3 linked regions of the Saccharomyces cerevisiae S288C genome follow. The gene in region 2 interacts genetically with the main gene of each other region. Each region holds a gene or a part of one and is shown on either strand. Other genes may lie near its edges. The genes, in order: SRP102, YPC1 and ASG1.

Region 1 (3,397 bases), on a different chromosome or scaffold from region 2:
TGGTAGTATAACCACTAGTTGATGACGATAGTTGATTTTTATTCCAACACGCGGACATATTAAATGTACGGTGGCTAGCAGGCCTCCTATTCACCATATTTAATCTTCATTAGTTGTACCTTTGACCATTGACAATCAACACAATAATTATGAACAAAATTTCCTGGTACAATGATTATGGTAAAGAAGAAAAAAAACGCTGCTTGCTATAACCAAATCAGAAAATATAATACTATAATAAAAATACATCAAACTACTTATCTTCAATTATTTTCCCGCATAATTAGATCATATAACTGCTGGAACATCAAACAAATATTAGCTCGCGTGGCGTAATGGCAACGCGTCTGACTTCTAATCAGAAGATTATGGGTTCGACCCCCATCGTGAGTGTTTTTTACACCAGCAGTCAAAAAGAGTTACTTTTGATATTGCATGTGTCGATGATGCAACTATGTCTTTCTCTGCGTACGGAATCTAGAGCTATGTTAAATGCTTGTTTTTAAACTATCTATCGTTCATCTAGTTATAAATTATAATTATATTACAGTTTTTCATCTATCCATTCGCGCCATTGGGAAATTTTTCTTTTATTAATACTGCCCTCAAAAGCAACTACAGATGCTTCCAAATTTGCAAATTTGAACCCGTCGGTAGACTGTAAAACGTCTAGTGTATTCTCTGCATAATCTTCTTCGTTAATTTTTCTTTCAACCTCGTTCAACGATTTTTTCCTTCTTTCAATAACCTTTTGAATTTCGCTTTCTAAAGCATCCTTGATCTTTGATGGTGGTCTTGCAGTGAACAATTCGCTTTTATTGCATGCAATTAAGATATCAATACCATTTTCGCAACTAGATTCAGTAATTGATAATATGTCTACCAAGAACTCAGCTGTTGTTGTTAATTTCTTAGGATCAACTGTTGAGTCTACCATAAATATCAACCCTTTAACAAATTTGGCTCTTGTTTTCAAATAATCTGAGAGTTTATAACGCAACTTGACATGGCCTGGGAAGTCCACTAACGTGACGCCGGAACCATCGTAATCCGCTGCTGATAACGGTTCTTGAGAAACAACAGTTGGTCTTACTGAATCTGTGGTTAGCAGCGTAAGCAAGCTCGTTTTTCCAGAATTTTGAGGACCTGCAATGATAATAGATGGTTGATAACTTTTTTGCTTGATCCCTGTCTTGGAGGATGCCTTTTGCACTGCTATTAGCGCTATGGTTGTCCCTATCACCAATAAACAGGCAATAATAAGTGTATTACTAAGCATTCTGATCCCGTGTGCTATTATGCTAATAAACAGCAGTGGTAAAGTAATAATTAATTGATCAATACAGACACTTAAAGCCTAACTATTTCTTTTCTTCTCATCTTTTTCAAGTTTAATGATGGTTCATATTTGTTTTCCATATCTCTTATTTTTTTCCGCCACTAGATGAAAAAAGTGAATGGTGAAAAATTAAGAACAGTATTGCAGCAAAACCTCTGACACTTTAGGACATAAGGTGGCCCGTCTAGTTTAGGTAAAATGATGAAAAGATGCTTCAGTATCCTACCACAAAATGTCCGGTTCAGCTCAAAGTTCACAAGTTTAAACTTACCAAAGTTAGATTTGGCGGATTTTATAGACTCAAATAAAAGAGGAATCAATGTTCTTCCGTCGTACAGAGATGAAACCGCTAGCACCACTCAAGCAACTAATTCTAAAGAGCTCAGATTACTTTCCAAAACACTTCAGGGCCAGTCGTACCGGGACCAATTAGAGTTGAATCCTGATGTAAGCAAAGCAATCAACAATAATATTATGGCTGTACATATTCCCAATAATCTTAGAAGGGTTGCTACAAATTATTACAAAGAGATTCAGGAACCAAATTCATTACATCGTCCCTGTAGAACCAAAATGGAAGTGGATGCACATATAGCGTCCATTTTTTTACAAAATTATGGTTCTATTTTCCAAAGTCTGAAAGAATTACAAAAAAGGGTAGGTCCTGATAATTTTAAACCTCAAAGAATCCTTGATGTTGGATATGGCCCAGCGACTGGTATAGTTGCCTTGAATGATATTTTAGGCCCAAATTATAGACCTGATCTAAAAGATGCCGTTATTTTAGGGAATGCGGAGATGCAAGAAAGAGCCAAAATCATTTTGAGCAGACAACTTAACGAGGTGGTCGATACTGTAGAAGAAAATGTGTCTACAGAGAAAGAGCAGGAAACAGATAGACGGAACAAAAACTTTCAAGAGGATGAACATATTGGAGAAGTGATGACAAAAAAGATAAACATTATGACTAACTTGCGGTCTTCTATTCCCGCATCTAAGGAATATGACCTCATAATATTAACGCATCAACTTCTTCATGACGGGAATCAATTTCCAATTCAGGTGGATGAAAATATTGAGCACTACTTAAATATTCTAGCGCCTGGAGGCCACATTGTTATTATTGAACGAGGCAACCCAATGGGATTCGAGATTATAGCCAGGGCAAGGCAAATTACGCTTAGACCTGAAAACTTTCCAGATGAATTCGGAAAAATACCAAGACCTTGGTCTAGGGGAGTAACAGTCAGAGGCAAAAAAGATGCTGAATTAGGAAACATTTCCAGTAATTATTTTCTGAAGGTGATTGCACCTTGTCCACATCAAAGGAAATGTCCCTTACAGGTTGGAAATCCTAACTTTTATACTCATAAAGAGGGTAAAGACTTAAAGTTCTGCAATTTTCAAAAAAGCATCAAGCGTCCCAAATTCAGTATAGAGTTAAAGAAGGGTAAACTTCTCGCTACTTCATGGGATGGTTCTCAAGGAAATGCGTCGAGGCTAAAAGGAACGGGAAGAAGAAATGGTCGTGACTATGAAATTTTAAACTACTCCTATTTAATATTCGAGAGATCACATAAGGACGAAAATACGTTGAAAGAAATTAAGAAATTACGGAATGAAAATGTGAACGGCAAATATGACATTGGATCACTGGGTGATGACACGCAAAATTCCTGGCCTAGAATTATCAATGATCCTGTCAAACGTAAAGGTCATGTTATGATGGATTTATGTGCGCCATCAGGAGAACTTGAAAAATGGACGGTTTCGCGGTCGTTTTCTAAACAAATATACCACGATGCCAGAAAGAGTAAGAAAGGTGATTTATGGGCCTCAGCGGCCAAAACACAGATTAAAGGGCTGGGAGACTTGAATGTTAAGAAGTTCCACAAGCTAGAAAAGGAGAGAATCAAGCAGTTGAAAAAGGAAGAACGTCAAAAAGCTAGAAAGGCTATGGAATCTTATAATGAATTGGAGGACTCTCTTCAATTTGATGATCATCAGTTCTCAAACTTTGAGGTAATGAAGAAATTGTCCACTTTTCACGGCAACGAT
Region 2 (3,120 bases):
ACATGGACGTTTTCCTTCTTGAGACATGGGATAGTTTTCATTGATAGTTCCATTTTGTTTTCACTTGCGCTCGTTTTGGCATGTTGAATGGCATCCGCCAGCATTCTTGCTTTTGGGTAATAAGGACAAATATCCATTATATCCAAATCTTCCTTTTCCTCATAGCCTGTAAAATTATTAGGTTCGGATACTGTGTGCTCTATGTTGTTATTAAATGTTATTATTGGTCTTTTGTGGTTTCTTAATATTGTTCCACTATCGTATTGAAAGTTTGATTTTTCAGAAGCCAAAATAGCATTCAATACATTATTTTGGTACATGTCCCGAATTAGCTAACAAATTTCTTAGTATTTGTGTTACAACAATTAGAGATTTTGTTTTGTTTATTTACTTTCATCAATTCACGTTATTTTGCCGCCGACGGCTTTGAGACCGCACAAAGTTTTTTTTCACCAGAGCAATAAGCTGGGTCATTTAAACTATTCGCAAATCAAGGATTCAAAAGATCTTTTCTTAGATATATTTTCTTCGTGATTCGTCATTAAATAGAACATGAAATAAAAAAAATAAAAAATAAATATGCCTATACATTATGAATATATATTATGCTATAATTATTACTTCTCCTTTTTAACTTCAATTGATTGATCTTCTACGTATGGGCCAAATAGTTCAAGTGAATATCTTGTTGAGGGTTTGCGCCCTTTCCATATCAGTTCAGGGAAGACTTTCCATCTCCAGATGAACTGGTAATTGCAGCTGACGTTGAGCGTAATGACCCTTAAATGTTCCAAAGAAACAATGTAGAAATAAATCCCCATACCAGTTAATATATGCCACCATCCGTGTGGTTCAAGCAGTACACCAAGTGGTAAAGCCAAAATACTTCTTCTAACGTGCACCCAGAACGAACAATAGTGTATATCAAGTAGCCACGAAATGTAGCCAGATAAGAACAAAATTGCGCCGAGCGCCATTGAAGCCTTGAGATTTCTTTTGGCAAGTGGATCATGGACGTATCTGTACGTCAAACTTCCTGCAGTAGCAGCCACAACTACAATCTGTACGCCAAACAAAATTTGATGGATATCGACATTTTTGTAAATAACGTAGAGTATGCTTGCTGTTGTAACGGCCAGGCCGATAATTACGCCGATGAATATCTGTTCAAATAGAGGAACCTTCTTGTGATTATCTCCGTTAAGTAATGCCTCTTTGGCCTCGCATACTAAACTCCATGTCGGAATGCACATGGCGTATATCATTGGAAGTTCATCCAATAGTTGGAATCTATACTTCAGTGTCATATGAAATAGCCATGATCCTACTCCGACCAAACCGTACCCGAAGCCAATAAGTAAAAACCTTTTTTCTAATTTATTCTTGTAAGCAGAGTAAGTTGTGTAAATCGCTGACAGTATGAATACGCTGTTAGTTAAAGTGTTTGACCACTCGGCAATATAGGGAGAAACGACATAGTTCTCCTCACACCAGTCAATAGTGGAAGTTGTTTCTCCCCAAACGCCGGGGACAGAACTCTCTGGATAGTTCCAACGAAATATTCCCATCAATCTTCTATTTTCTTAAATAAAGATTTCTGCTTTTATTTACAAATTAATCTCTGTAAGTATCGGACCTTATAAAAACCCCTTACACAATAACTATATAGATGTATATAGGATATATAGATATATATATGCAAATATCTTTTTCCTATAAGCGATAAAAATAAAATGCTACCCGAATTCTATTTAGACATATATAACCGGAGACAGATATTTTTTATGTCATGGGGTAGAGTAGTGCGTTTGAAAGTATCAAACAAAAAGTTTCAGGGGCCGGATCTAATCGGCATAAATATTTTCCGATGTCTCGCGTTAAAAAACTTGCGTGATAATCCGTCCGCACTAGTGGGATCGAAAGAAGGGGCGTGGTCAGAAGGGTAACGTTATGTGAAACCCTTGCCTTTGAATCTTTCCTGCTATGCTACGTCGGCCGACACTTCCATTTGAAAAAAATATAAACGATGGTGTTGCCAAGTATTTTTTTTCGCCTTCGTTTAACGTCAGCATTACTAAAAAGGTTAATGGTTGGCGATACTAACTAAAAAGAATTTGTAGAAATGCCATGAAGATTTTCACGCTGTATACCATGATTCAGCAATACTTTTTTGATAATGGCGGTGTTTATAGTATAAAGAATTTTTATTCTGCAGTTCCGAAGGAGAAAATGAACATAATTCTTGTTTCACTTGATTGTGAGCTCCAAAAGCTTGCTCTTAAGCTGTCAAAGAAAACTAGTGGCACTCACACTACGCACTAGCTTTTACACCACATCGTTATTGTTTTCCATTAACGCTTACGTAAATTTCATCTATCATTCTACCTGTACCGTTCCCGATGATAGTGGCTTACAAAACGGCTTGAGGTACAGTTGGTTCGAACTTTTTGCATTATTGTTGCCTTCTTTTTTTAGTAACAAGCGGCGTCTTTGTTTCTTCTGCAAAAATAATCTCGCTCGAGTAATTGGAGGCTTGGCAAAACTTAAATCTCCACGCATACCCGGCTTCCTATGTTCGTGAAGGACTCAAAAACATGAACTATCCTTATCCATCTTTCTTTTGCCAAATTATTTTAGCCAATCTATATAACACTACATCATTCCTTTGAGTCTTTCTTTATCATTCATTCGAAGGGAGAAATATACGAGCCAAATTCAAAGACAGACTATTTTTTCGAGCAGGCCTATCTCATCAGAAAAAAATTTAATAAAGCTCTAGATAAGCAAACACAATTATTTTCAAAAAAATTTCTGCTAAATGGGTAGAAGAAAAATTGAAATTGAACCTATCAAAGATGATAGAAATCGTACAGTTACTTTCATAAAGCGAAAAGCAGGACTATTTAAAAAGGCTCATGAATTGTCAGTACTTTGCCAAGTAGACATTGCTGTCATTATTTTAGGATCCAATAATACATTCTACGAATACTCTTCTGTTGATATGAGTAACCTGCTTAATGTTCATCAAAACAACACTGATCTTCCTCATAATATCATAGAACCATCTGATTATGGTGACTATGTGAAAAAACCACGTGTTGTTCTGAATGAAAGGAAGCG
Region 3 (3,762 bases), on a different chromosome or scaffold from region 2:
GCAATAGAGTTCCGGGCTCTCCGGTAACATAAGGGATCTACATTTTCAGCATTCATGTTGCGTGATAAATAATGAATAAAAGGCCTGTATAATATTATCTGAACGTGCAAAAAAGACAAATGTAATAAACGATTTGCCCTTTCATATTCAGGATCAATATTTTCTGCGTTAGGTATCAGTTCTTTGGGCAACGAATCCAACCAATTTCTCAACTTTAATTCCAAGCTAGTAACTGTCTCATGAGAAATTATATTACTAGTTTTTTTTATCGGATATAGTTCAGAAATGATCTCATTTAAAATCAAAAATAGTTTTGTATGTTCATTCGAAATCCCCGTACTTGATAAAACGGAGTGTTGGTTCTCAGGTAGGTACGCCACCTCAGTGATATTCTCATCTGATAAATCCAGGGGGAGAGTTTGGTCAAAATCGTCGGGGGAAATAGATCTCGGTAGGCCCAGCATTGCATTGATATAAACGTCCAGTTTATAGATTGTATAAAAAAGGCGTTTCCTCATCTCAATTTCTATTGGACTAAAACCAGAATTGGGGCTCAATTTCCTATGAAAGCCTGCTCTCAAAGCACTTCTCATGGCGACACCGATATAAGTGTAACACGTTGATAAACGTGCGGAACATTGTAAGAATATAATCAGCATTAAAATTGCTTGTATGGAATTCAAGTCACGGGCATTTGTAATGTCGATTAGTTTCCTTGCTGCAATGAAGTACTTGTAACCTTCATCCTGTAGAAACTTTTCCCTTGACGAGTCATTTGAGACAATGGATTTCGAGAATAATGCTCCCACAGCGATTGCAGCGTAGCACAATGGTAAAAATTGCATTTGCTTAGACGTATAATTGTTTGGGTCTGTCTCATACAACTCATCCAATTGTCTAATGAACGATGGTCTGTGATAAAATCGGAGAAGAACACAGCAATGTTCCCAAGTACTTTTCACGAATTGTAAAGCGATCGCTTTTGGTGGTAGAATTATTTTTATTTCTCTACCAACGGGGATATTGGAGTAGGTATCTACACTGTCTTGTTCCCTGTTGCTGGAGGCGCTATTCGAGTCACTTTTCATGTTAGGTAAAAATTCGTCTGGAGTGGAGTTTTTTGAATTTGAAGAAAGTACTGGTTGGATCGGAGAAGAACTGTCATTTACGATTAAAGTATATTCTTTCACAGTGTCATCTAAAAACGACTGCGAGTCCCTCTTAAAATTGTGAAAGATCTGCAAGAACACAGGAATATCCAGATTGTCTATATCAGGTAACTGCGGGAAGACCTCATCAAATATTTGCTTGTACCTGTCAATCTTCGATTGTAACCTTGTGCTCTTAGTCTTATACTTTCTTGGTTTAGATGGATTGTTACTTGCAGGTATTGTAGAAGCACCCGGTAAAATAGCCCTTTCTGTTTTAATGTTTGAGAGGAGTTTATTTGGATTGGAAGCGGCGGCTGCCACCACAGTACTTGATGATGGACCAGTAGTAACATTGCCCAGTGTTAGAACTCCGGAGTTTCCGGAGTTCTGTGTTCTCTTCGTAGGCTTCTTATAAGTACATTCATAAGAGTACACAGTACAATGGATACATGGTTGCTGACCATCACATTTAACTTTTTTCTTTCTGCATTCATCACAGGCTCTAGTGACCCTTCTTCTCTTGACAGACTGTTCCCCTTGTTGCGCTTGTTCTGGCATAACGCCCTTATCAATTATAATATGCGCTCCTTTTTCTTTGTCTCTTACCTTATGGAACTCAAATAAAAAGAGGCTTTTTTTCTATATGTTAACCTCTTCGAGATTTTCTAACCGCTTTATAAAAAATTCGATTACTGGTTGTCTTCAATGCAAGGAACTACTCAACAATAGAAGGTCATGTCCAGGTAGACAAACCTCATTACTGTAGTCACTTTTGAAAAAAAAATTACCAAAAAAAAAAAAAAGAAAAAAAGAAATCACTAGGGCTTGAAGAGCGTAGGTCTTATAAAATGTTTTTTAAGGGCTTGAACGGAAATATAGCATATATGATAGGTCTAAAAAAGTTACGAAATAGGTTATGATCCATGGATGAGGTAAACAAAAAAATGGAAAAACATAAACAAATCAGAAACGGTATAGAGAGAACAGGATGGTAAGAGGTTTAGATGAATACCGGCTCTATAGAAGATTGAAGGTTTAAATAATAGTGTGTAAATTGTGCGTTCAATTAGCAAAGAAAGGCTTGGAGAGACACAGTAATAATAAATGTCTGTTACCAGTAGGGAACAAAAATTTAGTGGTAAGTATAGTTCGTATACAGCCCAGGATCGCCAAGGGCTTGTTAATGCGGTGACATGTGTTCTTAGCTCGTCAAGCGATCCTGTGGCTGTGTCAAGTGACTATTCCAATAGCTTGAGTATTGCCAGAGAGGTCAACGCTTATGCTAAAATTGCCGGATGTGATTGGACGTATTATGTACAAAAATTAGAAGTTACCATTGGTAGGAACACAGACAGCTTGAACTTGAATGCTGTGCCCGGTACAGTCGTGAAGAAGAATATAGACATTGATCTTGGTCCTGCCAAAATTGTGTCTAGGAAGCATGCTGCAATCAGATTCAACCTGGAGAGCGGATCATGGGAATTACAGATATTCGGTAGAAATGGTGCTAAGGTCAATTTTAGAAGGATTCCCACAGGTCCAGACTCTCCTCCTACGGTGCTACAGTCTGGTTGTATCATAGACATAGGTGGTGTGCAAATGATCTTTATATTGCCGGAACAAGAAACTATTATATCGGATTATTGCCTGAATCACCTCATGCCCAAATTACTATCTACTTATGGTACGAATGGTAACAACAACCCGTTGCTACGTAACATTATCGAAGGTTCTACCTATTTAAGAGAGCAAAGGTTACAGGAAGAGGCTCGATTACAACAGCTGGACCACCTACACACCCCATTATCGTCATCATCAGATGTTAACCCAATAGGGGATCCACATGGAGACACGATTATGATGGAAGAAGATGAAGAAGATGAAAATTACACCAGAGGAGGAATTAGACCGAATACATACACGTCCAGTAGCAACAATGCTGTCACTAACGGTAATGTACCCCATATAGAAAATCCATCAGACTTGTCGCTGGATGAAAACAGATATATCAAACCACCACAGTCGTATGCATCGATGATCACCCAAGCCATTCTTTCAACACCCGAAGGTAGTATTTCATTAGCGGATATTTACAAATTTATCTCTGACAACTACGCATTTTACAGGTTTTCTCAAATGGCGTGGCAGAACTCCGTGAGGCATAATCTGTCCCTAAATAAAGCCTTCGAGAAGGTGCCCAAAAGAGCTGGTCAACAAGGTAAAGGGATGAATTGGAAAATTAGCGATGAAGTCAGGCGTGATTTTTTGAACAAGTGGAATGCTGGTAAATTGAGTAAGATTAGACGAGGCGCCTCTGTGACAAGACAGCTGCAATTGCACATGTCCAAATTTGGAGAAATACCTGCTCCTGAATCTTCATCAATTGACCCGAGGGGGATAAAAGCACAGAAGGTGAAAAAGTCTTTACAAGCTACGAGCTCGATTTTAGGTGAAAGCGCCCCGCAATTACAAAGAACTCAACTCACTGGCCAAATTTCTACTACGACATCCATGGACGTAACAACAAACGCAAACGTGAACAATTCCTCTCTGAGTTGAAATTCAGCGTCGTCGAACCCATATGTATTATTAAACAATAAAGAACAAAGAC

What was found.
Region 1: mutations in YPC1 (region 2) and SRP102 together harm fitness less than expected from each alone (positive genetic interaction), as found in Saccharomyces cerevisiae (one large-scale study listed by BioGRID).
Region 3: mutations in YPC1 (region 2) and ASG1 together harm fitness more than expected from each alone (negative genetic interaction), as found in Saccharomyces cerevisiae (one large-scale study listed by BioGRID).

The regions. Positions count from the first base shown.
Region 1 is NC_001143.9:159,483-162,879, reverse strand, and holds SRP102 (Signal recognition particle receptor subunit beta), read right to left. Parts: upstream 1,280-3,397; coding exon 545-1,279; downstream 1-544. Other genes in the region: tRNA methyltransferase RSM22, read left to right, coding at 1,538-3,397. UniProt on the Saccharomyces cerevisiae protein: Component of the signal recognition particle (SRP) complex receptor (SR). Ensures, in conjunction with the SRP complex, the correct targeting of the nascent secretory proteins to the endoplasmic reticulum membrane system.
Region 2 is NC_001134.8:594,563-597,682, reverse strand, and holds YPC1 (phytoceramidase), read right to left. Parts: upstream 1,569-3,120; coding exon 618-1,568; downstream 1-617. Other genes in the region: YBR184W (uncharacterized protein), read right to left, coding at 1-320; YBR182C-A (uncharacterized protein), read left to right, coding at 2,128-2,322; SMP1 (Smp1p), read left to right, coding at 2,819-3,120. UniProt on the Saccharomyces cerevisiae protein: Alkaline ceramidase that hydrolyzes phytoceramide and also dihydroceramide into phytosphingosine or dihydrosphingosine. Prefers phytoceramide.
Region 3 is NC_001141.2:100,729-104,490, reverse strand, and holds the start of ASG1 (Asg1p), read right to left. Parts: upstream 1,710-3,762; coding exon 1-1,709. Other genes in the region: forkhead family transcription factor FKH1, read left to right, coding at 2,256-3,710. UniProt on the Saccharomyces cerevisiae protein: Probable transcription factor involved in the stress response.